Sus scrofa: one gene and its partners. The protein of the gene in region 2 interacts with the protein of the main gene of each other region in a pairwise test. Links are inferred from orthologs where the notes say so. Each region holds a gene or a part of one and is shown on either strand. Other genes may lie near its edges.

Region 1 (4,266 bases), on a different chromosome or scaffold from region 2:
TTGCAGCTGCAATCTGTTAGGCCTTCCAATTGACTGCTGCCTTTCTGTAAAACCTGAAGGGGCAATTTCCAGCCTTTTTAAGGCAGCTGACCTGGCCCAGGCCTGGAGCTCCTGGGGTTTGATTATAGGAATTTGGCTGTCAGGCTCTTTCCCATAAACCTGAGTTCCAGTCATGGTAGATGGTGGGGACTGGAATTTGGCTGTCAGGCTCTTTCTTATATACCTGAAGTTCAGTCATAGTATATGGTGGGGAAGGTGTTCTGGGCCTGACCCAGTAGGTAGGAGCCAACAGCCTGTGGGAGATGAACCTCCCCCACTCCTGACCCCTTCTGGTCCACTCACCATTCTGTGCGGCTGCACAGGGACATCCTCCCACCCCAATCCATCCCAGCAATGTGTGGCTATGCACTTCCAGGCCCTGCTGACCTCCTCATCTTTGCTCAAGAACGCCCTTAAGCAGTGAGGCAGGTGAGGGAGAGCAAGGTGAAAGACCTCACCCCCCCCCCCCATTATCAGATGAACTCACTGAGCAACCTGCAGGAGGGCCATGTCTTGTGAGAGGACCAGTACTGAAGGGATACAGATAACATGTGTGGCACCGTGTAAATTCCTCAGTACATTCATCTTATGGTTTCAGTTCAGTAGGAGTTGGCCAATGGAGTGGCACTCCTCTCTGCTCATTAGGACCTCTTATGACTGAATCTATTCTGGTCTGCAGTGATGACAAACCGAACACCCTTGCCCAACAACTAGCTTACTATAGATACTGAGCAGCAAAGACCAAAACTGTTGAATGAGGATCGTCTGCCAGTGAACACCTTGAGGGTGACTGAGGCATTTTCTGTGCTCTTTGAGGTATGAGTGCAATGAGGTGTGCTTCCATACTTTTTTGGGAGCCACACAGCTGGTATCCCCAAGGGTGGAGAACAGGCCAGTGCAGGTGCAACCTGACCTTGGTGGCTCCCGGTTTATAAGGTAGGGAAGCTATAGTAGGGAAACAGTTTCAGACATAGTCTCCCCCAGTGCCTACCCCTCTCCCCAGCACAGGGCCAGAAACAGCACACACTAGCAACGATGACTCGGGGGTGTCACCCACACAACGTGACTCGAATTTATTTTTTAGGGCCGGACCCACAGCATACGGAAGTTCCCAGGCTAGGCGTCTAGCAGGAGCTGCAGCTGCCGGGTCTATGCCACAGCCACAGCCTCACCCACACCAGATCCGAGCCGGTTCTGCGAGCAGCTCATGGCCACACCGGATCCTTAACCCACAGATCCGGTCCAAGGATCAAACCCATGGCCTCATGGATACTAGTCCCTTTCATTACCTGTGACCCACGACAGTGGCTTCCAATAATGCGGCGGTATCTGCCGCAGCCTCCGACTTTGGCCAGGGCCACAGCAGTGCGCAGGCGTTAGAGGCAGGCGGGGGCGGTGCAAGCGCGCATGACGTCACTGCGTGCGACGCGGGGTGGAAACGGGGGCCGGTGGGGCCTGGGTAGCGGGAAGCCGGCACCATGTTCGGCTCCAGCCGGGGTGGAGTGCGCGGTGGGCAGGATCAGTTTAGCTGGGAGGATGTGAAGACTGACAAACAGAGGGAGAACTACCTGGGTGAGCGGGGTGCCGGGACCCAGGGTGGCGGCGGGGGTGTCTCTCGGGCTGGAGGTACGCCAACCTGCAGCGCCGTACCGAGGACTCGGCGCTCGGTATCCCGCAGGCAACTCGCTGATGGCCCCGGTGGGCCGCTGGCAGAAGGGCCGTGACCTCACCTGGTACGCCAAGGGCCGGGCGCACGGCGCGGGGTTGAGCCGGGAACAGGAGCTGGAGGCCGTGAGGCAGGCGGAGCAGGAAGCGCTTATGGCAGCGTTGTGAGTGAGCCTCGGGAGCTTGGGGGCGGGGGGGAATTACCTCCTGGTTGGGGGTAGGGCGGAGACCGGGGCTGGGCGGGGGCGGGGGCGCGGGCCGAGGAGAGGCCCGCCACTCTCTGAAGCTCACGCGCGGCCCCCGCAGAGGCTACAAGAACGTAAGGAAGCAGCCCACGGGCCTGAGCAAGGAGGTGAGAGGTGGGCCCTCTTGGAGGACGGGGGCGGGATGGGGCGGGGGGGCAGACCCCACGCTGTGGTGAGCGCTTGCACTCCCCCCCACCCACAGGACTTTGTCGAAGTCTGTAAGCGGGAAGGAAGTGACCCCGAGAAGGGAGTGGACCGGCTCCTGGGCCTGGGCAGCTCCAGGTGCGGGGCTGGGGAGGTGGTCCTCGGGGACCCCAGAAATCGCGAGGGTGCAATTCCCCGGGGTTCGGCGCTGTCAGCCGCCCAGGTGGAAGCCGTTATGGGTCGTCTGAACTCATCACTTCTCTAGGGAGGCCTACGGGTGGGGATGGGGTGGTCCTCGCTGTCGGGAGAGGGTGTCTCACTGTGGGGGGGGGTCCCCACCCGCGTCCCCGCAGTGGCTCTGCAGGGCGAGTGGCGCTGTCACGGGAAGACAAAGAGGCCGCTAAACTGGGGCTTTCGGTGTTCACGGTAATTCCTCCCGACATCCTGGTTATCCCATGTTGGGGTGGGGGTGGGGATGAGTGTCCCTTCCTGTTGAAAGCCGTGGGGCAAATCGTCTCCCCTCGAAGGGACCCTACTGGCTTTCTGGATGGTTCTCAGGCCCGCACACCCCCAGAGTGGCTTTTCTTGGCAGCACCACCGCGTGGAGAGCAGTCGGCCAGGGGTCTCCCTGGCTTCGGCCAAGAGGAAGCCTCGGTCAGAGGAGAAGGTGGAGCCAGGGTAAGGGCTGGATAAGTGGACCCTACCCGTGCTACTAGGACACAGAACTCGGTTCGCTCTGCATGTTGTTTGCTCCACCAGACAGTAAAATTCCTAGCTCCAGCCTTTTTTTGGGGGGGAGCCGCTGGAGGTTGTGAGCCCTGGGGCGGTTCCACTTGCCCCCTGACTCCTCAGTGGGATCAGGGGCCCAAGAGAATGTTCAGACATGAGTCACTTTCCGGGGTCTGGGGCGGGTGGGGTGGTGAACCACTTCCCCTTCCCGTTGCTTTAGCTGCCCAGCGAGGGGTGTGAGTGGCACAGGAGGGGATCACAATTTGGCCCCAAGAGTGCAGGGTGGAGTGGGAGTGGGGAAAATCGCAGTGGGAGGGTTGGAAAGGGGCCATGAGATCGTCAGATTTTCTGCCACGATTGGAATGCAAGTAAGGGTCTGTGCCCCCGACCGTGGTAGTTGCTGGCTACAGGTGGTACTGAGGAGTTGCCCTTAGTGACTTCAGGTTGAAATGGCTACACATGGTTAGTGGCTACTGCAGCAGCCCCATCCCTGGCTAGATTCCAAAGCCCCAGAGGCACTGGCACTTTGTGTCCCCTTGCAGCCCTGAGAGCCACAGGAAGAGCAAGAAAGAGAAGAAAAAGAAGAAAAAACACAAGAAAGAGAAGAGAAAGAAAGAAAAGGAGCATGGGAGGGGGTCACATTCCTCACTGTCCCCTTCTTCCATCCAGTAGGTGCAGCTGCCTGGGGGTAAAGAGGCGGGGAGTACTGGGCAGGCAGGGGCCCTCAAGCCAGGTGTCCCCCGGTCTCCCTAGGCATGATCCCAACTCCTCGCCTTGTTGCAAGAGGAAGCGCCGGCAGGACAGCAACTGAGATCCAGAGATCTGAAGGGCTAGCCTATGGGGATCACCCCAGGCCTCGAAAGAGGCTTAACTGTGGCCTACTACGGCTGCTTTTATTTTTCTTTGTATTGACTCACTCTTTGTACGTAAATAAACTTATTTTAAGTGGAAAGTGTTTCATACTAAAGGGAAGGTTGCTATCATATGTCATAATAGAAAGTGATGTGTGGGAGTTCCCGTCGTGGCGCAGTGGTTAACAAATCCAACTAGGAACCATGAGGTTGCGGGTTCGGTCCCTGCCCTTGCTCAGTGGGTTAACGATCTGGCGTTGCCGTGAGCTGTGGTGTAGGTTGCAGATGCGGTTTGGATCCCGCGTTGCTGTGGCTCTGGCTTAGGCCAGTGGCTACAACTCCGGATTCGACCCCTAGCCTGGGAACCTCCATATGCTGCAGGAGCGGCCCAAAGAGATAGCAAAAAAAAAAAAAGACAAAAAAAAAAAAAAAAAAGTGATGTGTGAAGATGTGATCTCTTGGGTTCTAGCAAGGCTACCTGTGATCCCACTGGGAAGGGCACTGTCCTTTTGGTGGTCAGCATCTCGGAGTCTCATATTGACCAAGAGCCCTGGGTCATGTGTGGCCAGAAGGAGGCCACACGGGTCAAAGGG
Region 2 (3,500 bases):
GGTGTTGCCACAATCTTTGGTCCTAGGTTGCAGACATAGCTTGGATCTTGTGTTGCTGTGGCTGTGGCGTTAAGCTCAGTTAACAAAAGAGCATATTGATAAATTGGACTTTATCAAAATAAGCAATCTCTAATTTTGAGTTTTTGAAAAATAAAGAGAGACTGTAGCAAAATTGGGAATATAGGATTAAATGGATAGCTTTGGCTTCCTCAGTGAGTCATAGAAAATAGGTAGACCAGCTATTCAGTCATCCCTGTTCCTTCTCTTGTCATGATCTCAAGTTTGGTGTTGTTTCAGTTTCTTTTTATTTTTTTCCTTTTTTGGCTGCCTGAAGCACACAGAGTTCCTGGGCCAGGGATCAGATCCCAGCCACAGTTGCAGCCTTAGCTGCAAAGCCAGATCCTCGTGCTGGGCCGGTAATTGAACCTGTGTCCCAGGGCTCCAGAGACACTGCTGAGCTGATCCCGATGTGCTACAGTAGGAATTCCTTTCCAGTTTCTTAGCAGTGTCCAAGTCTCACATCTTTTTTTTTTTTTTTTTTTTTTTTTTTTTTTTTTTTAAACATAAAAGTGATTTTATTTGCAGGGGAGAGGGACTCTAGTCGAACATGCTAAACCCCATGTTATGGTCTGACTCCCTCACATCTTTTAAATTCTATTTTTTCCTGCCATAAATTGTGTTCATTTTGAACTTCTCCAGTGTTGCGATTATCTCCTTAGGACCCAGTCTTCTAGCCACCAAGTTTGCTGTGTTAGGGAGCTAGACCCTTTTCTCTTGGCAGATCCTGATGTCCTTTAGGTGTTCCAGGGCAGCCTCACACTGTCTCATGGGATATTCTTAGCTTTGCTGAATGTTGTTGGTATTTTAATTGAACTCTGGCAAGCTGCTCAGCACAGCAGGAGGCAGACAGATATGGAGGCCCCTGTGGGAGCCATAGGAGTCCACTAGTTTCCAGGCTGTTGTGATGTAGGTGATGTTTCTCCCTTCTACTTAATTTCTCTCTCAACTTACTGGATTTTGCCACATCTTTTTTCGTGGAATATTATTTCTTTTTTTGCAACTTCAACATTCACATTCCTTCCCCAATACAGCTTTTTTGTCCCTGCTTTTAGATTGCTTGTGTCCCAGTCTAAAATTCCAAAAGTGTCTGTTCCCTTCATAGCTGAGGTTGTGGTAAATTGTCATTTTCTTTTTCTTTTTTTTCATTGTTCTCAAATCCATTCTAGGGCTTTGTGAAGGATGTCCATGAAGACTCTGTCACCATCTTCTTTGAAAACAAGTAAGACCTTGGGAATAGAGAATCCAGTAGGTCCTAGAAGGAGAGTGGAGAAGCGGGGGCGGCTGAATCCCATGAGGCATGTAATAGGTGGGGGAGAGCCAAGGGTTTGGGTGGGCAACTTCTCTGGATCACAGGAGAGGAAAGGGCCGAAATGTGAGGATCGGGGGGCATTTGACTCAGTATTTAGGTTCTCGCAAGAGATGAGAGACACCATTATGGAGGAGGGCCTGGGGTTTAGCGCCTAATCACCAGGGAGGGTAGAAAATGCACAGTGGAGGAAGTAGCCTCTTCCTGAAGAAATGGACAAGTGCAGAGCCTGAATAGCTTTCGTATCACCGTTTCCCTTGCAGCTGGCAGAGTGAGAGACAGATTCCTTTTGGGGACGTCCGGCTACCACCGCCAGCTGACTATAATAAGGAGATTACAGAAGGGGATGAGGTGGAGGTAAGGACCATGGCGTCCTCCCTTGCTAAATGTCGCTTTTCCCAGGATTCTGCATCTCCCTTATCCTGATGCCGGTATCCTGGCCCCGCCACTGTGGCTCACTCTCCTTCCTTCCTAAGCTAAGCTGCTTCATTGAGCTGGGCAGCCTGTGGGAGAGTGAAATGCAGCAGTTCTCTGTCCGTCACTGTGTGATGCAGCCAAGCTCTCAGGGAGCTTCCCAGTTTCAGGGGATTCAGTTCTCTCTGTATAACAACAGCATCTAAAGTCCAGAGCCCTCTGATTTTAATTAGCAGCTCCTTCCTCTGGTTTCCTTTATCTTAGTTTAGGATGCCTCTCACGTGTCTTAATGTTTACTCCATTCTTGATGTTTTTGGATGGTCCTCAATTCTCTTTTATTTTGAACTTCTCTTCTCTTCAGGTTTATTCTCGAGCCAATGAGCAAGAACCTTGCGGCTGGTGGCTGGCCCGAGTGCGGATGATGAAGGGAGATGTGAGTGGTTGTGAAGGTCTTTGCAGAGCTACCAAACCCATTTTAGGGGAAGAAAGGTGGGAGATGGAGACTCAGGTCATCCATAGTTTCTTTCTCTTCTTCCTCCTGCCAGTTCTATGTCATTGAATATGCTGCCTGTGATGCCACTTACAATGAGATTGTCACCCTGGAACGGCTTCGGCCAGTTAATCCCAATCCCCTTGCAACCAAAGGCAGCTTCTTCAAGGTGACCATGGCTGTGCCTGAGGATCTGAGAGAGGCGTGAGTGTTGGGGATGTTGGGAGTGGGGGCCTCTTTATGGTCCTCATCGCTGCCCTTGTTTCTCCCAGGCGCTGCTTCCAGTTTCAGTGTTCTTTGTTGTTCCCGTGGCCCTCTAGAGCCCTTTTTGCTCCCAGTTCCCCTGCTTCCTCATCCCTGTTCTTTTACTCAAGTCCCTCTTATTTTTCTCAGTCCCCTCTTTCTCTCTCCCCTGAACCTTCAACTCTGCACTCTGCCCTCTGAGCACTGTCCTCTTTCCCTGCAGCTGCTCCAATGAAAATGTCCATAAAGAGTTCAAGAAAGCATTGGGAGCCAACTGTATCTTTCTCAACATCACAAATAGTGAGCTCTTCATTCTGGTGAGTTTATTCTGCCTGAATTTCACCTAAGCCCACTCCCCTTTTAATCCTTTGCAAGAAGGAAGAGCTAAAATGTGCTTATATTTATTTGGCAGAGAGGACTGTATAGCTCCAGACCCTTGTGGGCTCGGGTTAGCCTATGTTTCCTTAGTCTTTCTCACGTGTGACCTTAGTTTTTTTCCTACCTGACCATCGTATTACAGTCTGGGCTAGGGACCCTCTCTTGCATATTTGGACTCTCAAAAACATGTGATTCTCACCTGTGTTTGCTACTTAAAATCCTTCCCTTAGGCGCCCATGTAGTAGGTCCTTGTGAGACTGACACGATTTGTTTCTTAACATCCATTCTTTTTCAGAGACTCAGGCATCCTGATTCCCAGTTCCTGGCTCTCTTCCAATGTGCATTCAGTCCATTTTAATGGCCTTTCCATTGTCTTCTTTCCAGTCAACCACAGAAGCTCCTGTGAAACGGGCATCCCTGCTGGGGGATATGCATTTCCGAAGCCTGCGCACCAAACTGCTGCTCATGTCCCGCAATGAGGAAGCTACCAAGCACCTAGAGGTAAGTTTTAAGCCCTTTTTACTGCTGGGTGGTGGTGTTCTCCTCCCTCCCACCCCATTCTCCACCCATGCCCCTGTGTTTGCAGAACAGAGATTAAGGTCTTTCTGG
Region 3 (4,150 bases), on a different chromosome or scaffold from region 2:
GGTTCCTAGTCGGATTCGTTAGCCATTGCACCAAAACGGGAACTCCTCAAATGTCACTCTCTTTAGGGCAGCCTTCCTTGAACTCCTATCCCAGACTGGGTAAGGCACCCTTGGTATTCACCCATCATCCTTCTTAATTTCTTGTCTGCAGCCCTAGCCCCATTAAAATTTTTTTTCCTTAAGTAACATATGTACATTTGAAATGAATAAAGACCCAAGAGAAATCGCTGTAATTCCACCAGCAACTTGTTTTCCTATTTTAGTAAAGTTCCTTTAATTTTTTGTTGTAAAGCTTTTAGAAGTACAGCTTACAGTTGGACATTTGTGAATATCCTGAAAAGGGTCTTGGGTAGGTCCCCTACCCACGTGTTGAAGGGCCTGATTAAGAATCGTGGACCCTGGGGGCAGCAGATTGGGTCTGCCTAGCTCCAGTTCTGCCACCCACGAATTCGCACCCACTCAGTGCCAGGGACACTGCTGCAAGCCACACACAGTGCCCCAGCCACTCCACGTTCTCTGGCATCTGTCCTTCATGTTCCGCGCCTTCAGCTTCTCTCCAAGGACAACCCAGGGGGTGGCTCCCTGTAGAACCGCCTGAGCCTGAAGCTCCTGGGGCTTGATCGGCCATTTCAAAATGGCCTCACAGCATCCTTTTCAGATTCAAGCAGCTTCTTTCCTCCTTTTCTAACCCCCTTGGTCTCTGAGTTGTAAGCTACCGGCCGATTTTCTCAGAACCCTGGTGGCTCACGACTCCCTCGGGAAGGCAGTCTTTCGGGGAAACACGACCCGCCCAGCCTTTGTTGTAGCAACTGCACGAGGAGCCACGTACACTTTCGGCCAAAGCCGGACCGGGCCACCAGAGCTGGAGGAGGCCCGACCCCACCTGCTTTGGGCCCCTTCCTAGGTTTTGAGGAATTGAAAGAGGGCCCTTTCCCCGCCCGACCTCTGCCTCACTCCGGGCCCACGTTCACTCTCCGGGTTCCCTATTTGCATTACCAGGCACCTCGGAGTGTGGCAACTGCAGCTCTACCGCTCTGATTTTTAACATGACCTTGGCCATAAGTCTCGGGGTGCCCGCTTGGGCTCTTGCAAGAGCCTCGACGCCCCAGGGAAGGTTTCCCGTCGGTTGCAAAACCCAGGCTGTCAGAGCCCCGAGAGTCATAGAGTCACAGCCCCGAGCTGGACTTCCTGCCCTTGCTCAGGTCGTCTCTCTCATCCCACGAAACGCACCTCAAGGCGTCTGCGCGGGACGGGGTTCCAAGACTCCCAGGCTTCGCCACCCCACCCCTTCCCTCCCCTCCCCCACCATCCCAGTGCGCCTCCCCCCACCCCCGCCCGCACCCACCGGAAGGGGCGGGGCTCCGCGCGGCGGGCAGGCGGCGTGATTGGCCGCGGCGGGGCGGACGGCCGATGCCGATATAAGAGCCGGGCCAGCGCTACCTGCGCCACAGTCTTCGCGGAGAGTCGCTGCGGTTTCCTGCTTCAACAGTGCTTGGACGGAACCCGGCGCTCGTCACCCGCCCCGGCCGGCCGCTCAGAGCCAGCCCTCGCCACCTCTTCACAGCGCCCTCGGACCGCCCCAAGGCCACCGCCACCGCTCCCGCGCCGCTGCCGCCACCACCGCTCCTCAGCCTCCCGCCATGACGACCTCGTGCTCCTCGCAGGTGCGCCAGAACTACCACCAGGACTCGGAGGCGGCCATCAACCGCCAGATCAACCTGGAGCTCTATGCCTCCTACGTCTACCTGTCCATGGTAAGCGCAGGCTTGGCCGGCGGGGGGCGGGCTCGGCCTCGGAGGCGGCGGGGCGGGGTGTGGCTAGCGGGCGGGGCCTCCCGCCTCCCGCCTCTGCGCGGTTCTGGAAAATGGAGGCTGCTCCGGGTCCCCCAGGACTTCGCAGAAATTCCGAGGAGTCGGCCCTTTCCGACTGACCCCTGGGAGTGCCCCTTTGTAGGCCGACTGCCTCTGCCCGCCCACCCCCCTCCCCCCTCCCCCTTTTTTTTCCTTGCCGCGCTTGCTGCCAGTACCATCCTGCAGTTAGGAAGGTGGATTTTCGCATTTCCATTCCGTCCTCTGCATCCGATCACGTGATCCTGGGCGGAGGCGAAGAGGTCCTGCTCCCATCCCCCAGAATACGGCGGAGCCTGCTGGGTAATGGTGTCGAATAGCAGCCCTGGGGGCTGGTGTGAAGTGCTTTATCTCCAGTGGGCTGACCACCCGAACAGCCGTCTCCACCCGTTTGCTCTGCTTATCGCCAAGTCCCACTTGAATTGAAGCACATCTCTAGAAATCTCTCCTTCCGCCACAGTTGTCTTAGTCACCCGTCCTTGCGCCTGACTACCTCCTCCTTTATTCTTTTTGTCTAAAGGTTGGGGCCTAATCGAACCCTTCGTTCTTGGATAAAGTCCATCCACAGTTACAGGGCCGGCATTTTTTCCATAGAGGGGTCAGTTTTCCAAATTCCTGGTTTTAGGCGGTGTGGTAGGAGTTGTAGAATTGTCTGACCATTACGTAAACCATCCAAGAATAGGCAGGTACCAGATGGGTTTGGAACTGGCCTGGATTTCTATGACTGCCCTTCCATTTCAGGAACACCCAGCAAGGGTCTAAAAGAACCCAGTTTTGCTTTCTACTGTTATGCCTTTATATACATTGTTGCCCACAGCCGTCTACTTCCCTAGTGGGGTACTTTTAGAAATGCATCGGTCTGGCTGTAAGCTGGCAAGTTCATGTTTTAACATGGATTAATCAAGGAGGGAGAAGGAGGAAGCACTAATAGTGCGGAGTAAATACTCCACTTTCCTCTCTTCGACCAGATGTGACACTGGCTGTAAGAATTTAACTTTGGAGTTCCTGCTGTGGCGCGATGGGGTTGGCGGTGTGTCTGGAGCGTTGGGACTTAGGTTCCATCCCTGGCCTGGCACAGTGGTTTTAGGGATCCAGCACTGCCACAACTCTCATGAGGGTCACAGCTGTGGCTCCCATCTGATCTCTGGCCCGGGAACTTCCTCAGACCAGAGGCGGCCAAAAAAGAAAAAAGAACTTTGCTCTAACACAGATCCTGAGGATGTTCCATGGTGGTGGCAAGTCCTGTGATATTCTAAATGCTCCTTGTGAACATTTTTCATTTTTGCCCTTAGGAGTGAGAACTAATGACTGTTTAGTTCGATGCAGCAACGCAGCCTGCTCTGATCTCCTTAGACCCAGACCCCTTCTTGCTGGGCTTTGAGAAAGGAAGCCTAGGCTCACAGACTCCTGTTTTCACTTTTCAGTCATACTATTTTGACCGCGATGATGTGGCTTTGAAGAACTTTGCCAAATACTTTCTTCATCAATCTCATGAGGAGAGGGAACATGCTGAGAAACTGATGAAGCTGCAGAACCAACGAGGTGGCCGAATCTTCCTTCAGGATATCAAGGTGAACAAAAGATTCCAGGGTTGTCGTGCCTGATGTGTCTGGCGCTCCTCAGGTGGCAGAAGGCACAGACCTGAGCAGTTGCTCTTATCAAGACGCAGATACGTTGGGCTTGTGGCTTGTGGCTTTTGTGCTGTTGTGGGCCTATCGTCTAAAGTGGGCAGATGGTAACGGGCAAGGATAGTAAAATAGAAACTGTTGTCGGGGAAGCTTGGATATTCCTTTCGCCAAGCACAGTGCTTACACGTTAGGTGCTTGCTGACTTGGGTTTAAAGGTAGAGGCTGCAGGTGCATTGACTTGGCTCCTTCTCGTTCAGAAACCGGAGCGCGATGACTGGGAGAATGGGCTGACTGCCATGGAATGTGCGCTGCACTTGGAAAAAAACGTGAATCAGTCCCTGCTGGAACTGCACAAACTGGCCACTGACAAAAATGACCCCCACGTGAGTATTGAGGCAACCTGGGAGGAGGAGGAGGAAGTCATTTACCTCGGGGCCTGGGAAGGCTCGCCAGTAACTCTCTTCCCCGTTGTCTTTTCCAGTTGTGTGACTTCATTGAGACGCATTACCTGGATGAGCAGGTGAAAGCCATCAAAGAATTGGGTGACCACATTACCAACTTGCACAGGATGGGGGCCCCCGAGTATGGCATGGCCGAGTATCTCTTTGACAAGCACACCCTGGGGAGCAGTGAGAGCTAAGCCCTAAGCTGGCCTCCCGGAGACACGGGGTGACC
Region 4 (4,126 bases), on a different chromosome or scaffold from region 2:
GGGCGATGGGGTCCTAAAGTGCCTGAGCCTTCCATCCCAGATCCCAGCAGCATGCGAAGGTGGTGCCATGGATGCGGAAGACAGAGTATATCTCCACGGAGTTCAATCGTTACGGCATTTCCAATGAGAAGCCTGAGGTCAAGTAAGCTGGTGGGTAGGGAGGGAAGGTGGAGATATCAGGTGCGTCTAGTGGTCCCTAAAGGCCTTTCTGTTCCTTCCTAGGATTGGGGTTTCTGTGAAGCAGCAGTTCACTGAGGAAGAAATATACAAAGACAGGGATAGCCAGATCACAGCTATTGAGAAGACTTTTGAGGATGCCCAGAAATCTGTAATTGAGGGACTGGGATGGGGGGAGGCAGTCAGCGGGGTGGCTTCAGAGTGCTGTGTACTCCTCATCCTGCTTTTGCCCCTATCAGATCTCCCAGCATTACAGCAAGCCTCGAGTGACACCAGTGGAGGTCATGCCTGTCTTTCCAGATTTTAAGGTCAGATCCAGGGCAGGAGGCAGAGAGGGATCGCCTGTGATCTCTGGCTGTCCCATTCTAATCCCAGTGCCCTCCATCCCCCAGATGTGGATCAACCCATGTGCTCAGGTGATCTTTGATTCAGACCCAGCCCCAAAGGACACGAGTGGTGCAGCTGCATTGGAGATGATGTCTCAGGCCATGATCAGGTAAGTGGTCCTGCTGCTCACCTTGGCCTGCTCCTTATTGGCCCCCTCCCCACCCACCCACCCCCATTCTTTTTTGGGGGGGGGCGACACGAAGAAGTTCCCTGGCCAGGGACTGAACCCACACCATAGTAGTGATCCAACCCACTGCAGTGACAATGCCAGATCCTTAGCTGCTGATACACCACAAGAGGATGCCCATCTTTGTCTTTGTTTTTAGCTGCTCCTCTTTTCCTCCCAACCAGGGGCATGATGGATGAGGAAGGGAACCAGTTTGTGGCTTACTTCCTGCCTGTGGAAGAAACCCTGAAGAAACGAAAACGGGACCAGGAGGAGGAGATGGATTATGCGCCAGATGATGTGTATGTGGGTTGGAGTTAGGTTTGGGGTGTTAAGGAGTAGGTCTCTTTTTCTCCTTCACAGGGAAGAAATGGCTGACCCTGTCCCCTTCATCCTTAGGTATGACTACAAGATTGCTCGCGAGTACAACTGGAATGTGAAGAACAAGGCCAGCAAGGGCTACGAGGAAAACTACTTCTTCATCTTCCGAGAGGGGGATGGGGTTTACTACAATGAATTGGAGACCAGGTACTTAGCACTGTCCTACCTCACTGAGATTATCTGGGCTTGTACTTCAGATTCAGGACCCTGGGGTATGCAAGTGCCACCTCGGAGGTCATTTGTACCTAAGGATTTGCCATGTGCATTTGTAAGAGCAGGAGCCTGATCACCCTTGCGGGCTAGACCTGGTTCTAACATAAGAACCCAGGAAGACATTTTTTTTTTTTAAAGGGCTGCACCTGAGGCATATGGAGGTTCCCAGGCTAGGGGTCTAATCAGAGCTGTAGCTGCCGGCCTGTGCCACAGCCACAGCAATGCCAGATCCAAGCTGAATCTGTGACCTATATACCACAGCTCATGGCAATGCTGGATCTTTAATCCACTGAGGCCAGGGATTGAACCCGCAACCTCATGGTTCCTAGTCAGATTTGTTTCCACTGCACCATGACAGGAACTCCAGGAAGAAAATCTTTACCTAACTAATACTGGAGATGTTTAGTGTTCACGTAGGGTAGACTGCCAAGTATCCCCTGATGTTAGTAAGAGACTTCACGTGGAAGTAAACATAGCCGAAGTATAGAGTAATGCATAAAATGAGCATGGCTATTTTAAATGAAACACTAGATATCCAAGTTCAACATGTGACCACCTAAAAGTTTTCCCTGATGGCGAAAACGGCTGTGGTGGGATCCTTGGTGTGTAAAGACTGGCAAGGAAAGTATGACCTTGAGTTTCTATTTAAAGCAGAGATCACAAATTTTGATCCCATTAAGCCAAGCAAGAAAGGTAGAAAGCACAGTAGGCTATCGGGGTCCAGATGACTTGGAGCTCCTGGCAGCCTCCAAGGGGCACCATGACACAGCCCACTGCTGCTATGCTGTGGGGAGGGGGTGCAGCAAGGGCCGAGTGGGGTCTTATTTTCCAAAAGCCAGAAATCCAAATTCTAAATGTTAATACCTAATTCACACTAAAATCTATTTATTCATACACTTACGTGTATATGTACAGGGCATACATACACACACATACACAGCGCAGGGCAACTACACTGCTATCTCGGGAGCTGTCATCCCTGTCCCCAAGTTTAGCCTCCCTTATGCAGTCTGTATTTATTCTGGGCCAAGCGTAAATGAGTAAGGATGGGTAAGGAAGAACCAAGTCAGTCCAGCTTCCCCACAGGGGTGAGTTCTTTAACCGAATCTCTTCCACATCCCTCTCCCCCAACTCCACCGTTGCAGGGTCCGCCTGAGTAAGCGCCGGGCCAAGGCTGGGGTTCAGTCTGGTACCAATGCCCTGCTTGTGGTCAAACATCGGGACATGAATGAGAAGGAGTTAGAAGCCCAGGTAACAAGCACCACGATCCAGGGCACCCACGGGGAGGGTGAAGGTTGGTGAGGAGAGAGAGGAGGTGTACAGAACACTCTCCTTCCCCTCACCCCTGCTGCTTCCAGGAGGCACGGAAGGCCCAGCTGGAGAACCACGAACCAGAGGAGGAAGAGGAGGAGGAAATGGAGACAGAAGAGAAAGAAGCTGGGGGCTCAGGTAAAGCTGGACCAGCCAAACTCTGGGAGCCCGGGGAGGGTCGAGAACTGGGTCTCACTTCTTCATGCTCCTTTCACAGATGAGGAACGAGAGAAGGGCAGCAGCAGTGAGAAGGAAGGCAGCGAGGATGAGCGCTCGGGCAGTGAGAGTGAACGAGAGGAGGGTGACAGAGATGAGGCCAGTGACAAGAGCGGCAGCGGCGAGGATGAAAGCAGTGAGGATGAGGCCCGGGCTGCCAGGGACAAAGAAGAGATCTTCGGCAGTGATGCTGATTCAGAGGATGACGCTGACTCTGACGATGAGGACAGAGGACGGGCCCGAGGCAGTGACAATGATTCGGACAGTGGCAGTGATGGGGGTGGCCAGCGGAGCCGGAGCCACAGCCGGAGCCGGAGTGCCAGTCCCTTCCCCAGTGGCAGCGAGCATTCTGCTCAGGAGGATGGCAGTGAAGCTGCAGCTTCGGATTCCAGTGAAGCTGACAGTGACAGTGACTGAGTCCCAGGGCCTTCAGGGCTGGAGCAGGTACAATTACTACGCGCAGGAAGGCACTTTTCAAGTGGTCTATTTGCAAGCTTTCTGCTTTGTTTCTCTCTCCTCCTCCAAACCTTTGCTGTTTAATAAAGCCACCTTCCTTTACTTCCCCTCCCAGGCACTACAGTCTCCTTCTGCCCCCTCCTCCCACCCCCACCCCCACAGGTGCTTAAGGCACAGAAGCAAAGGCCACAGAGGTAGGGCCACTAGGTTTTCCATGAAATGTAGCATAACAAAGGTCAGAATCCTTTTTGTTTGTTTGTTTTTTCTTTTTTTCCAAAATAAGCCCAGACCATTAAACAAGTGAAACTCCAACAAATAAGTTTTCTCCAACAGCGAGAAAAACTGTACAGTTACTCAAAGCTGATTCTGCCAGTGGGGCTAGGGATAAAAGGGAGGGTGAAATCATGGCAGAGGGGCCAGGGGCTGGGGAGGGATGGGAGTGGGTCAGGATCCTGCCCATCAGAGTGGGGCGCCTGCGTCCTGCACACTCTGTCAGGTGGTGGGGAGGGCAGCAGCTCTTGCCTCCCGCTGTGTTTGGGGGTGCCCCTCACCACCTCCCAGTGCCTGGCAGACCCAGCTCACTCTGATGGGTAGTGAACAGGACAGGACTGCTGGGAGGAGGTGAGGGTCTCTTAAGAGGGACACCCTGCTGATTCCAAACGAGGTGGCCCCTGTCCATCCCACTTCCCTGGGCTGGGAGGAGGACTGGGGAAGCCCTGGGAGTTGGAGGGGAATGAGCAAAGGCACAGAAACATGGAGGGGCCGGGGTGGGGGACTTGCATAGGTTGATGAGTGTGCAAGAGGTACATAAATAAACCT
Region 5 (4,106 bases), about 33 Mb from region 2:
AGCACAGAGTGCCTCACTCCTGGTTTCCACCCTGAGCTCTGCTTAGTGGGTTCTGCAGGTCAGCAGCTGCCATGGCTCATGGTTTAATCCACGTAGAGGCAGATGGCAAGTAACCGTAAATGCGAAACTCCAGTTCACAAGATTTAACTTACATAAGTGACTCACATTATATTTCTAGCCTCTGAGACACTGCTGTCCCAGAGCCTACTCCGATTTGTTGTGCGAAATAACCAATGCTATAAGACAGATGAATGGGTGAATTAAGACAGACAGCCTGGGGAGTTCCCACTGTGTGCAACTGGTTAAGTATCTGGCCTTGTTACTACAGAGGCTCCATTCCCTGCGGTCTCCAGGGTTCAATCCCAGGCCCAGGAACTTCCACCTGCCTCCGGTGGGTGGGGGGCGGGGCTGGGCGACAAAAAGTCGGGTAGGGGGGAATACAGTCTCCGCCTTCCACGAGGAAAATGGATACAGCATTGCCCTAGAAGTTAGGAGATGTGAGTTCTGGACTTGGATATACTGTAAACACTGTGTAGCCTAGGACAAGCACCGCCAGACTACAGGCATCAATTTGTCCATACATCTGGCACTTGATCTCTGAGGTCTAGGAGTAAGCGGCTAAATGGCAGAGAAAGGCGGGGAAGCCTGGTACAACAGGACTTGTTTCCTATCAGGCTCCAACCTAACATGAGAGCTTGGACCAAGAGGAGGAGACAGCAGGAATCAGAGACTAGACGCCCCGAACCCAGCGCGGGTACCACCGGCTTCCTCGGGCCGACGTCACCGGGGCGCGACGGCGTCTTCTGTCGGGTCCCCCACTCCAGGCAGCAGCGCCTCCGACGGTCCCTTCGGTGAAGGTGAGTGCCGGAATAACAGAGAGGCAAACGGTCCTCGAGTCTCTCTGAGACTCCGATCTCACTCCACCACCCTCTGCTGCCCTCCCTTTTACTTCACCCTTATCGGGCACAGGAGCCGAGAGATAGGAGCAGAGCTACCATCGTTCAGAGCCGAACCTCAGCGCGGCTGCGCAGGGCACGTGCACATCCTCTCGGAGTCCCGGCGATTGGCTGTGACGTAACTTCCGGTGTGAGCGGCGAAAGCCGGGAGGGCGAGCGAGAGAGAGCAGGCAGCAGGCAGCAGGCGGGCGGACGGACGGCACGAAGGGAGGGAGCAAGTGAGCAGTGAGTGGGCCAGCGAGAGCGGCCGCGTCCCGAGAGCAGCCGAGATTCCTCCCGTCCCTCTGACCCTCTCCCCGGAGCCCACAGCGCCTCCGGTCTCCAGCGGAGCGGACACGGCCCGGCCCGGCCATGGCCTCGTTGCTGAAGGTGGATCAGGAAGTAAAGCTCAAGGTAGGGGTACGGTCCGGGCTTCCTTACTCCTTGCTTCGATCCTCGAGCTGTCTGACTGGCTCCCTACTCCCCATGGCGTCTTTGTCTCCCTGGGGACACCAGCCCTGAGCTTCCGCTCGGCTCAGCCCAGCCCCCCACTCCCAGAGATGGCATCGGGGGAGACGCTACTATGGGGTGGCCTTCTGTACCCTGTCTAATGGTGGAGAGCCCCGGGGAGACTTCCGCGGACACGTGGTGGACTTAGTGCTTTAGGCCAGTGACAGCTGGAAGTCCCCCCAGCCCAGCAACGTCCCCATCTCTGGGCGCTGCTACTGCCCCTGCCCTTGGCGTCAGGCCTGCCTCACATCCTAGGCCAGGTTTGTATGGGGGTTGACATGTTTGTGAGCTCACGCCTCTCCCATCTACCTGTCTTTTGTCTGCTTTCAAATTCAGACAAGCTACAGACAAAGGGAGGGAGGGAGGGAAGACAGGTGGGTGCTGCCCTCCAGCCCCGCTTCCCTCTCCTGAGATGGAGAAATGGATCCTTAAAAAAATAAAGTATTTGCAGTCTGGGGGCCTCTCAGCTTCTCATTACAATTACAAGGTGAGGGAAAGACAGTTGGATTTGGGTTTCCCCATCCTGCCCATACTTCTCTTGCCAGGTACTGACTTGCTCTTACTGAATTGCTTTCTTTGTTAATTTTAGGTTGATTCTTTCAGGGAGCGGATTACAAGTGAGGTGAGTGAAAGAAGTAGAAAATCGAGCATTGGTTAATGGTTGGGAGTTCTCCAGAGAAGAGATGTCTGTAGAGACAGACCTTCCCTCAGTTACTAATTCAGCTATATTTTCCCTCATCTTTAGGCAGAAGACTTGGTGGCAAATTTTTTCCCAAAGAAATTGTTAGAACTTGATAGTTTTTTGAAGGTGAGAGACCCTTTTCTTTTCCTCAGAGTCCCCAGTTTTTTTGGCCCTGGTCTTTCTGTCAAATGGGACAAATGACGTGTTGATTCTATCTTGTTTTGTGCTGTAAAGCCGTCTTCATATGTTGCCCTTGAAATGAAATACTTCTTTGTTCATTTTGAAAAGACTGATGTTTTGGGGGTGGGCGTCTCTTTTCAGGAGCCAATCCTAAACATCCATGACCTAACTCAGATCCACTCAGACATGAATCTCCCAGTCCCTGACCCCATTCTTCTCACCAATAGCCATGATGGACTGGACGGTGTAAGTATCCTGTATTTATCTCTGTGTGTGTGCCGAAGCAGTAGGCGCTCTGTCCTCAAGTCTCTGGTCAGCTTGAACGTGTACAGGGGTACAGGGGACAGTGGGATTTGGATCTGGGAATGAGGATTCTTTTTTTTTTTTTTTTGGCTTTTTGCTATTGCTTTGGGCCGCTCCCGCGGCATATGGAGGTTCCCAGGCTAGGGGTTGAATCAGAGCTGTAGCCACCGGCCTACACCAGAGCCACAGCAACGCGAGATCCAAGCCGCGTCTGCAGCCTACACCACAGCTCATGGCAACGCCGGATCGTTAACCCACTGAGCAAGGGCAGGGATCGAACCCGCAACCTCATGGTTCCTAGTCGGATTCGTTAACCACTGCGCCACGACGGGAACTCCCGGAATGAGGATTCTTACAGACATATGACTTTGGTACACCCCCTTCGGTCCCCGGTTTTCATTTGTAGCATGTGTTAATGGGTACTCTGTTAGAGTGAGTTGAAAATAGGGCTAATAGTGACAAGGTCCCTCAGGTTACCTGGTCTGTCACCATGGCTCTAGGCAAGACTTTTCATCCCTGTTTCAGTGTCTTGAGTCTTGTTATGGGAGGGGGCAATTGTTCTTGCTATATAACTGCAGTTCCCCGTCTTTCTGTATCTTTAGCAACTAGTCTTTAGAATATGTCCACATTCTGTTATAACAATGATGACCCCATATTGTTATTTATCTGCTATATATATTGTTATTTATCCGTCGGTGTCTCATGGGTAGAACTTGCACTTTTGGAAAGGAGAAACTATCTGAATTATCTTTGTATCCCCAGCACCTAGCATTGTTCCTTGCAAGTGCTAAATACATGTTTGTTGATTGAATATTCTTTGTGGAACAAGCACATTTGTTTATAATCCCCTTAGTTATACTCACTCTGCATTCAGTAGTTCATTCTTTCTGTTGTTCATAGTATCCACCCCTCCCCTGGTTGCCTAATGTGTTATATTTCTTGAAAAGTTGGTCTTTCCAACTATAGTGTAAGTTGCTTTGTGGGAAGAACCTTTTCTTAAAGCTTTGTGTGTGCTTAGTGAATTGTGGGTAAATTAATAAGACAACCTGTGAAGTCAAGGTAGGGATTAAACTTGCTAGAAGGGTAACTTGCAGTGGGGATGTGAGTGTCGAATAGGCTGATTCTTGTCTCTTTGTATCCTTAGCCCACTTACAAGAAGCGAAGGTTGGATGAATGTGAAGAGGCCTTCCAAGGTAAGAGCCACCTTCACTGTCCCCTACCCCAACCCTTCCTGGCTTGCAGCCCTGAGAAGCAGGATGGATCTGGTGCTCTCCTGTCCAGCAAGCAGGATCTGATTTTATTTCCTAGCATTAGCATTCCTAAGCTCTCCAGACATTGTCTAGTACTCTAAACCTAATTTTCCTTTCCTCTTTTTTTGTCTTTATAGGGCTGCACTCACGGCATATGGAGGTTCCCGGGCTAGGGGTCTGATCAGAGCTGTTGCTGCTGGCCTACACCACAGTCACAGCAATGCCAGGTCTGAGCCGCATCTTCGA
Region 6 (4,125 bases), on a different chromosome or scaffold from region 2:
CCCAATAGTATTCTTTACCTTAAGCTTTAACATTTCAAGTGAATGAGCAAATCCAGTACCAAAACATCACTCTGCTTAAAAACTGCTTTTGTAACATTTGTTGTGCCTTCACTAAGAAAAACTTTCAAGTTTAAAGGAATTGTAATAATTCATACTTCATTATTTCTGATAATTCATACTTTCTGTGTCTCGGTATAATTCTTAGTTCTAAAAGAACATTCCTTTTTCCTTACAAGATATTCTCTGAAAATTTGTTATAAATAACTAATCATAATTTCTTAAAGATAACTATACAACTCAACTTTGATGAGAGTAGAAAACATGTTTGGAAAGTGATGGTTAAGTGCAGAGTCTCTTAGGTAGCTTTCAAAACGTTAGATACTTGGTTCCTACTCTTCCCTAATTCATCACTATAGCAGGACATGGATTCTCCTTCACTGTTAGCCCCCCTCTCTCTAAAGCACTTCCTCCAGAATGCCATCCTTAACTGTCCCAAATATGGGTGATTTCTGCTTTGATATCCAACAGTGGGGATTAATTTTTTTCTTCCATGGACCTTTCACAAGTCTGTTAAGCCTAGAAGCCCTTCCCCAGAATTTTTCTCTAAATATGTAAAACAGTATTACAAAATTGTTCAACTGTATTGAAATAGTTATCAAAACATTTAAAATACCACATTCTATGGCAATATTAAGAGTCCTTAATGTAAACATTTAGCTGCTGATTCAATAACTACAATTCTGAAGTAATGAACAGCAAACATCTTAATGTATCTCCCACAACTGTAATGCTGGGATGTGAAAACATATAGCTAATACTATAAGTTTTTCATTTTGCTTTTTTTTTTGGGAGGGAGTCCTACATTCATAACTGAAATACTAAATTTTAGTTAAACAATAGAAAAACAACTTTTTCCCATCCAACTTTACGGATCATCTGAATTATAAACACTGACCCTAGATTAACAATCCCTGCTGCAGACCGAGAACAGACTTGTGGTTGCTAAAGCGGAGAAGAAAAGGAGTGGAATGGACTGGGAGTTGGAGATTAGTAGATGCAAACTACTACATTCAGAATGGATAAGCAACGAGACCCTACTGTATAACACAGAGAACTACTGGCACTCTCTTGGGATGGACCATGATGGAAGATAATATAAAAAAGGGTGTGTGTGTGTGTGTATATATATATATATATATATATATAATTGGGCTACTTTGCTGTACATCAGGAATTGGCACAACACTGTAATCAACCACACTTTAGTAATTTTAAGTAAAGGTAAAAAAAATTCGCAGCTAGAAAACATGTTTTTTAAAAAAGCAATCCATAAAGTCATACAGCTTTTCAAGGTGGTGAGAAAGCAGGTATTGAGAGTCAGTTATAACAGAAACGCCCTTGGAAAAACCTTAAATATTCCATAAAGCTATAATATACTTGGGTTTTGTGCATATGATTCTAAAAGTAATTGTAACGTCCATTAATGTTTGAAAATCCCTACAACAATATTTTTGCCTACACCTCGATATCTATGGTAACTACCACATACACCTATAGTAATGGAAGGGAAATCTGAAGTGTTCTTGCATGCCTTACAGAATTTTACTTCCATTTTAGCTGTCTCCACCTCAATATAAATTAACAGAAATGTTAAATATAAATATTAAAGAGCCGTCTTCCACTGGAAGTCAGGTTCTACCGTCAACCAAGACACGTCCATCAAAAACAAAAAAAACCTTTCCAATCACTGTTAATCAAACGTTACTGCAATGAGTCAAGCAGCTGCAGTATTTAAAAGACGACTACAAGCCAATAGGACTTATAAAGCAAAGGGATGCCTTCAAGGAACACAAAGCCGACCCAGACGCCCGCGGTTTTTCTCTTCTCCTTCTCCTGTCCCCACCCACCTCCCTGCGGAAAGCGCCGGAGAACCAGTTCGCGTACCGTGGCGGTGGAAGAAGGGGGCGCTGCATCTGCCCTAAAGCAGCGTCTGCGGCCGGGAGCCGGGGACCGAGGCGCCGGCGGCCATGATGGGGCGGCCATCTTGCAGCGGCCATTTTACAACGCAGTTCTCCCGCCCCAAGGCGCGAAGCCCACCCCACTGCAGCAGCCCGGCGGCTCCACCGAGTACGACCACCTCGGAGCTCGAGGCCTCCCGGGAGTGCCAGCTGTTGACCGCCCACGCCGCCTGGGGGCCCCGCGCCGGCGCCCGAAACCACTGCCGCTCCCTCCCCTCCCCCATGCCACATCACTTCCCCTAACGGCCGCCATGGCGCACCCATCGCCTCCCTACAATAGGCTACTTTCTCCGCGCTCGCTTCACAACAACAAACACTGCACTATGGCTTTGCCACGCAGCAGCGGATCCCTCTCCTACCCCAACGCCTGCATAATGCTTCCGCTTCACAAGGTGCTTTCTCCTCGTGACGCACCGAAATATCCTGCCGCAATGCGCTTTCCCTGCACAAAGCCTTGCCAGCCGCCTGATCCGAGCGCAGCCCTTACCACCCCCGGCCCACAAGCTTCAACTACCCCGAGCCCGCCTCCATCCCCTGCGCCGTTAGATGCCTTTTTTCCCACGGGCTCAGACTCACCCTCCTGGAATTTAGGCTTCGGGTCCTGCTTCGGCGCCATTTATAAGTGATTCGCCGCCGCCTCCTCCTCCTTCTCCCACCACCCCCGACTACCGCCCCCTACTCTCTACCCCACCCAACTTCGCGTCAGACGCGCCGTCAGGCACCGCCAACTCTACATCCTGGGCCCGATTTGCCAGCGCCCGCAGACCTCACAGCACAGCGACCCGCGCAGCCGCCGCCCTAGCCAACGGTTGCCTGCCGCGCACGCGCCCCTGCGACCGAGCCGCCCCAGGGCACGCCGGGAGTGGTAGTTCCAAGGCAGTTGAGGCGCCACGGGATGGGGGAGGGGCGTTGGCCTTTTCCCATCCCCCACCCCCTGCTGCTCTTCCCCACCCCCACCCGGGGACTGCCTGAGGTTTTTAAAGCCGGATTTGTTTTTGTGTGTTGCCAGGGCGAGAGGAAAGGAGGCCGTGCATCACGTGCGGTGAAAGAATGGGAAAGGCCCAGTTGCGGAGCCCCATGGGCAATAGAGGGCCACAATTATATGGGCTTTGAAATAGCCAGAAATAAAAGGCTGCCTCTGAAGCCTACTTTCAATAGCATCTGAGTAGTTTCTGCGTAGGAAATCTTCACGGCCAGCAATCTGGTCAGAAGTGGGTGGATAATGGAGACTGCGTCTATAAATTTCATTGTTTTAGCAAGCTCACTGCCAGTTTTTTTGGTGCGACTGATGGCTGTTTGTCGGCTCCTACTCCTCCCCTACTCCAGCCCGGGGCCTGCAGAAATGAGGACATAGAGGGAGACACCAGGCAGTCTTTTGTGATAATGGAGTTCAGTCCGCGGAGGGAGGCTAACGTGAATAATCACGACGTCGAGATTCTGCACTGGCCCTATTTGTACACATTCTTGCCACCTAATTTCTTTGAGCTATTATTGAATATACACACAACTTAAACGAATTTCCTTATGTCATTCCCTTGTTCGAAATGTCTGCAGTTTGCTCAGCCGCAAAATAGAATAATAGCACCTTTCCATTGGTTTACTGTGAGAATTTCATGGAAAGGCTTAGGATGGTTCTGAGCAGTGAATTAGTGTGCAGAAAACGTTAAGCAGGATGAATCCCAAAGTCTATAGCTTGGCATTTTAAGTCCTTCCACAAACAATCCCCAACCGTCTCCAGGCCTTAGACTTGTCTCCTTGCCTTTTCTAAACCCTCCCCTGAACATGCTACGCTCCCATCAATTCCAGACCTCTCTCCATTTATCTGACTCCAGTTTCTCCTTCAGTCTTCCTTTAGCACAGCCCCTTTGACCACAGAAACCCACAAAGAACCCTCCTTCCATTTGCACCATCTGGTTTCTATTACTCCCTAGGGTGTCTAAGAAAGGGGCAAGGGCTTCTTGGTGACTCCACCACCACACCAGAACTCTCAAGTACACTTCTTTTTTTTAACGTGTTGAGTACAAAATAGTTCAAAATTAAATAATTCCGAAAAGATTTTAATGTAAAAATGAAGGTAGTGAAAAGTCTCTTTCCCACCTCTTATTCT
Region 7 (4,029 bases), on a different chromosome or scaffold from region 2:
GACATGTCCTTGAAGACACCTCACACAGGTTCCATCTGCAGCTCCTCCCCGTCCACAGCCTCTATCTGGTGGAAGGCGGCGTGGGAGCCGATGACCACGAGGGTGGCTCCTGGGGGAAAACGGGCAGCTCAGGGCCTGCTGCCTCCCCGGCCCCCACTGCCCACCGCGCCACCGAGACCCTGTACTCACTCACCTAGGACCCAGAAGACGGCGGATCCCGCGCCAGCCAGCCAGAAGAAGGGAAAGGAGACGCCCCCGGCCAGGGCATACTGATGGGCGGGGCTCACCTCTCGGCCTGGGGGGGCAGATGGCATTGGGACAGCTGTTCCACACCTGTCCCCTCTCCCAGAGTAACCCCCAAAATGCCTTATGCCAAGGCCCTCCAAGTCCGGCCCCAGCCATTTCCCCAGCGTCCCCACCCACTGTCCCCTGAAACAGTGCACCTTCCTCAGTAATCCCCCCCACCGCCCTCCACCCTTCAACTTTACTTCTGCTAGGAAGCTCCCAGACTCTCCCTCCCCAAACTACAGCTTTCCTGCTCCAACCTGCCCTCGCATAGACCTGGGTTTTCCAACTGGCATCCCAAAGGCCCAGGCTGACACCTAGACATGTTTTTTGAGTTTGCATATTATTCCACAATAATTTTTTTGCTTTTTAGGGCCGCACCCACAGCACATGGAAGTTTCCAGGCTAGGGGTCGAATCAGATCCACAGCCACAACAACGCGAGATCCGAGACACGTCTGCAACCTACACCACAGCTCACGGCAACACCAGATCCTTAACACCCTGAGCGAGGCCAGGGGTCGAACCCGCATCCTCGTGGAACCTAGTCAGGCTTGTTAACCGCTGAGCCACGATTTGTTGATTTGCTGCTGACATACAGACAGAATGATTTCACACAGCAATACAGTCGGCCCTCTGTATCCGCAGATGGGCACCCGTGGGTCACTGTACTACATCATTGCTACATCAGCAACTTGAGCATCCTCGGATTTGGGTATCCAAAATCTGGGGGCTCCTAGAAAAGCTGAGAGATGGCTGTATAGACATCTGGCTTCTTGTGGCAGATTGGAAAGTCAGACTTGCAAACCCTGGCGGCAGCAGTGGCTGAAGACAAGTTGTGACTATGCTCTGGACGCTCCCTCTGTGCCCTGTGCTCGCCTGACATGCTCCTCCACCCAGCCCACCCTTACCAGATACATAACTGGCAGGCTTCTGATGGATTCTGTCTTAGGTCTACCTGTTTCTTTGATTCCAACTCCCCCTTATCTCCACTCCAAACCTTGAGTTTCCCTTAGTTGGGAACTCAGGCCCTCTTTCTTCCCAGTGGTGCTTGGTGCCAGTCTAGGACCACATGAGCCACAGGCCTCAGCTTCCCTCTGAGAAGTCCCAAGATTTTTCTACTCCCATCCCAGGAAGCACGAAAGGGGGAGGACAGATTTAGGCTAGAGTAAAGTCGCCACCTGGCGTCCAATGTGGGTACTTGCAGCTGATGCTTTTGGCAGATGAGGGAGAGAGAAGGAGGAGGTTTAAAAGGCCAGCGGCTAGGTGGAGTGGTTCTTGGATATCTTCTGGGTTTGGGAAACAGCAATTTGGGGGGACTGAGAGTGGATAGGAGCATCAGGTGTGGGTATGGGGAATCTACTGTAGGTCTAGGATTGGGCAGACTTGGGTTCAAAAGGACTCAGGTTTGAGGTCTAAGGCTTGGATTCAAAGAGCCAGGATCAGAGGAGTTTGGGCAGATTTCTCACCAAACAGCACAAACTTGGACTGCAACGTGCGCAGATAGAGGATGTAACAGGCGCCAAAGAAGACAGCCAGAGCTACCAGCAGCATGGGCGATGTTACCCTGGAGGAGGGCAGGGAGGCACAGTCAGGCCGCTGGGGCTGCGTCAGACACGAAGGCCCTGACCTTCTACACCTGGGGACGTCCTTAGGACCACGCAAGTCTAGGTCATGTTTGGTCCCCCTGCATCCCAGCCAGGCTGATGGAGTAGGGACCTGGTCCTCTGGGGTAAAGATCCCACAGAGCTATCCCATGGGGACAGGGCCTGGCCAGTGCAGACATGGCAGCCTGGCGGGGGCGGGGCCTGGCTGAGGGGGGCTGTTCTGGCCAGAGAGACACTCACACGCAGTACAGGATGAGGCCCAGGAACACAAACACATAGTTGCTTTGGTAGTATTCCACGTTGCGTACGAGGCGCTGGCAAAGCTCGCCCAGGTTGCGGGGACGCGAAAAACGCCGCTGGTCCACGAAGGAGCCCCAGGGGCGGATGGTAGCACGGCGCCGCTCCAGCCACTCACGGCCCGCGCCAGAGGGAATCAGTTTCGGCAGCAGGGTCCTGGGGGGTGCGGGACCAGGTCAGCGGTAGACCGGGTTGGAGCCCGGACCCCCGAGCAAGAAGGGGGCCGAGGGGAGCGGGACTCCGGGGTTCTGGGGGGCGGGGGAGATATGGTCCAGGACTCCTGGATTCCAGGGGAGGAAGGGATTGAGCCGGGGCCAGGAGTCCGGATTCCTAACTCCCCAGGGATGAGGGGCGAGAAGCCATGACTCTCGGGTCTAGGTCAGGGGGGCTAGATTAGACTTGCTTACGTGGCGCTCAGCCCTTCCGCCTCGGCATCCTTCTGCTGGTCCTTCTCGGCCGCCATGTCTGTGTTGTGAGGGGAAGAACCGCTGTAACGAGGCTGGGGCCCTCCACACCCCACGGGCCCCGCCCGAAACCGGCCTCACTCGAAGTGGCCGGAGGGGACGTGGCGCCGTTCCGGCGCCGCTGGGGGCGGTAGGTTTGTCACGGAGTATTATGGGAGTTGTAGTCCTGACGATGTCGGGGAGAGTAGGCGCCCTGGTGGCTGCATGGCTCGAGGAGCACCTTGGGAGATGTAGTCGCGTAAAGCGACGTGGGTGCCTCGGGGGCATTGTGGGAGTTGTAGTTTCAAAGGTAGGACGTGCGAGGTCAGAGAAAGTGAGCTGTCAGGAGTCAGGGTGTCGGGGGAGTGTAAAGGCAGAAGACGTCGTGTACTACCCCGAGCAGTCTCTGTACAGTGGGGACTGTGTAGGGCTGTCATTCTGACTCTAAGGATATTAAAAAAAACCGTGATTAAACACTCAGATGTTCTGATTTATCAGATCTGGGGTGAGACCCATTCACTGGCTCTTTTTTTTTTTTTGTGGCAGGCAGGGAGTGGGGTGGGTGGGGACATGCTACGTTTTCTGGCTAAGGATCGAACCCTAGCCACAGCAGCAACCCTAGCACAGCAGTGACAGTGGGGGATCCTGAGCCACCAGGGAACTCATGGACCACATTTGAATAGTGAGACTGTAGAATATTTGTAGGAATCCATTCCATCCTTCTTCAAAGGCTAGTGAGGGGGCCATGGTTGCTGAAGGGGGTTATCTAAGATGGGGAGCAAAGCTCCCCCACAACTCTGGGCTCCTAAGGATGGATGGGTTAGGATTAGGACCTCAAGGATGCCCCTGCTATGGAGAGGGTAAAGGGAAGTAGGGGAAAGTAAAGGGGTGAGTTGTTTTTTTTTTTTTTTAATCTTTTTTTATTCCAGTTTTATTGAGGGGAATGAGGGATTTTAATTTTTAATTTTTATTTATTTATTTATTGTCATTTTAGGGCCACACCCGTGGCATGTGGAGGTTCCCAGGCTAGGGGTCGAATCAGAGCTGCAGCTGCTGGCCCACACCACAGCCACAGCAAGGCGGGATCCGAGGCACATCTGTGACCTACACCACAGCTCACAGCAACGCCAGACACTTAACCCACTGAGCAAGGCCAAGGATCAAATACGCGTCCCCATGGATACTTGTTGGGTTTGTTACCACTGAGCCATGATGGGAACTCTGAGAATTTTTAAAAGACGGAGTAGTTACAACTAAAAGAACTGGATTTCTTGGGTCAGAGGTCAAAATCCAGCCTGTGTTGATTTCATCAACTCCCTGTCTTCATTGGACAGTGAAGATCATCCTGGTTCCACACTCATGGGTTAAGGTTGGGTTGAATGATCCATGTGAAGTGCT

Evidence for each region.
Region 1: the proteins of FXR2 (region 2) and C2H1orf35 interact in binary tests that used the Homo sapiens proteins (3 or more experiments, as listed by UniProt). The two-hybrid records come from large-scale screens. The link is inferred for Sus scrofa from reciprocal best matches to the Homo sapiens genes FXR2 and C1orf35.
Region 3: the proteins of FXR2 (region 2) and FTH1 interact in binary tests that used the Homo sapiens proteins (3 or more experiments, as listed by UniProt). The link is inferred for Sus scrofa from reciprocal best matches to the Homo sapiens genes FXR2 and FTH1.
Region 4: the proteins of FXR2 (region 2) and PAF1 interact in binary tests that used the Homo sapiens proteins (3 or more experiments, as listed by UniProt). The two-hybrid records come from large-scale screens. The link is inferred for Sus scrofa from reciprocal best matches to the Homo sapiens genes FXR2 and PAF1.
Region 5: the proteins of FXR2 (region 2) and PSME3 interact in a two-hybrid assay, tested with the Homo sapiens proteins (2 studies listed by BioGRID and IntAct). The link is inferred for Sus scrofa from reciprocal best matches to the Homo sapiens genes FXR2 and PSME3.
Region 6: the proteins of FXR2 (region 2) and MORF4L1 interact in binary tests that used the Homo sapiens proteins (3 or more experiments, as listed by UniProt). The two-hybrid records come from large-scale screens. The link is inferred for Sus scrofa from reciprocal best matches to the Homo sapiens genes FXR2 and MORF4L1.
Region 7: the proteins of FXR2 (region 2) and RABAC1 interact in binary tests that used the Homo sapiens proteins (3 or more experiments, as listed by UniProt). The two-hybrid records come from large-scale screens. The link is inferred for Sus scrofa from reciprocal best matches to the Homo sapiens genes FXR2 and RABAC1.

The regions. Positions count from the first base shown.
Region 1 is NC_010444.4:51,238,526-51,242,791, reverse strand, and holds C2H1orf35 (multiple myeloma tumor-associated protein 2), read left to right. Parts: upstream 1-1,466; 5' UTR 1,467-1,517; coding exon 1,518-1,611; intron 1,612-1,717; coding exon 1,718-1,868; intron 1,869-2,010; coding exon 2,011-2,056; intron 2,057-2,151; coding exon 2,152-2,231; intron 2,232-2,446; coding exon 2,447-2,519; intron 2,520-2,620; coding exon of another isoform or gene 2,621-2,685; coding exon 2,686-2,771; intron 2,772-3,364; coding exon 3,365-3,490; intron 3,491-3,575; coding exon 3,576-3,633; downstream 3,634-4,266.
Region 2 is NC_010454.4:52,893,258-52,896,757, reverse strand, and holds part of FXR2 (fragile X mental retardation syndrome-related protein 2), read left to right. Parts: intron 1-1,226; 5' UTR 1,227-1,279; intron 1,280-1,629; 5' UTR 1,630-1,723; intron 1,724-2,141; 5' UTR 2,142-2,198; coding exon 2,199-2,213; intron 2,214-2,325; coding exon 2,326-2,474; intron 2,475-2,736; coding exon 2,737-2,830; intron 2,831-3,275; coding exon 3,276-3,392; intron 3,393-3,500. UniProt on the Homo sapiens protein: mRNA-binding protein that acts as a regulator of mRNAs translation and/or stability, and which is required for adult hippocampal neurogenesis. Specifically binds to AU-rich elements (AREs) in the 3'-UTR of target mRNAs.
Region 3 is NC_010444.4:9,533,701-9,537,850, forward strand, and holds the start of FTH1 (ferritin heavy chain), read left to right. Parts: upstream 1-1,350; 5' UTR 1,351-1,640; coding exon 1,641-1,754; intron 1,755-3,271; coding exon 3,272-3,418; intron 3,419-3,732; coding exon 3,733-3,858; intron 3,859-3,956; coding exon 3,957-4,115; 3' UTR 4,116-4,150. UniProt on the Homo sapiens protein: Stores iron in a soluble, non-toxic, readily available form. Important for iron homeostasis. Has ferroxidase activity. Iron is taken up in the ferrous form and deposited as ferric hydroxides after oxidation. Also plays a role in delivery of iron to cells.
Region 4 is NC_010448.4:48,045,987-48,050,112, reverse strand, and holds the end of PAF1 (RNA polymerase II-associated factor 1 homolog), read left to right. Parts: intron 1-40; coding exon 41-142; intron 143-222; coding exon 223-328; intron 329-416; coding exon 417-673; intron 674-915; coding exon 916-1,032; intron 1,033-1,129; coding exon 1,130-1,258; intron 1,259-2,469; coding exon 2,470-2,575; intron 2,576-2,682; coding exon 2,683-2,773; intron 2,774-2,852; coding exon 2,853-3,268; 3' UTR 3,269-3,626; downstream 3,627-4,126. UniProt on the Homo sapiens protein: Component of the PAF1 complex (PAF1C) which has multiple functions during transcription by RNA polymerase II and is implicated in regulation of development and maintenance of embryonic stem cell pluripotency.
Region 5 is NC_010454.4:20,032,547-20,036,652, reverse strand, and holds the start of PSME3 (proteasome activator complex subunit 3), read left to right. Parts: upstream 1-1,306; 5' UTR 1,307-1,307; coding exon 1,308-1,349; intron 1,350-1,842; exon of another isoform or gene 1,843-1,857; coding exon of another isoform or gene 1,858-1,932; intron 1,933-2,034; coding exon 2,035-2,067; intron 2,068-2,190; coding exon 2,191-2,253; intron 2,254-2,448; coding exon 2,449-2,553; intron 2,554-3,754; coding exon 3,755-3,803; intron 3,804-4,106. UniProt on the Homo sapiens protein: Subunit of the 11S REG-gamma (also called PA28-gamma) proteasome regulator, a doughnut-shaped homoheptamer which associates with the proteasome. 11S REG-gamma activates the trypsin-like catalytic subunit of the proteasome but inhibits the chymotrypsin-like and postglutamyl-preferring (PGPH) subunits.
Region 6 is NC_010449.5:48,048,786-48,052,910, reverse strand, and holds the start of MORF4L1 (mortality factor 4-like protein 1), read right to left. Parts: upstream 2,801-4,125; 5' UTR 2,635-2,800; coding exon 2,595-2,634; intron 1-2,594. UniProt on the Homo sapiens protein: Component of the NuA4 histone acetyltransferase (HAT) complex which is involved in transcriptional activation of select genes principally by acetylation of nucleosomal histones H4 and H2A.
Region 7 is NC_010448.4:49,932,210-49,936,238, reverse strand, and holds the start of RABAC1 (prenylated Rab acceptor protein 1), read right to left. Parts: upstream 2,801-4,029; 5' UTR 2,652-2,800; coding exon 2,596-2,651; intron 2,345-2,595; coding exon 2,132-2,344; intron 1,852-2,131; coding exon 1,754-1,851; intron 296-1,753; coding exon 194-295; intron 110-193; coding exon 21-109; 3' UTR 1-20. UniProt on the Homo sapiens protein: General Rab protein regulator required for vesicle formation from the Golgi complex. May control vesicle docking and fusion by mediating the action of Rab GTPases to the SNARE complexes.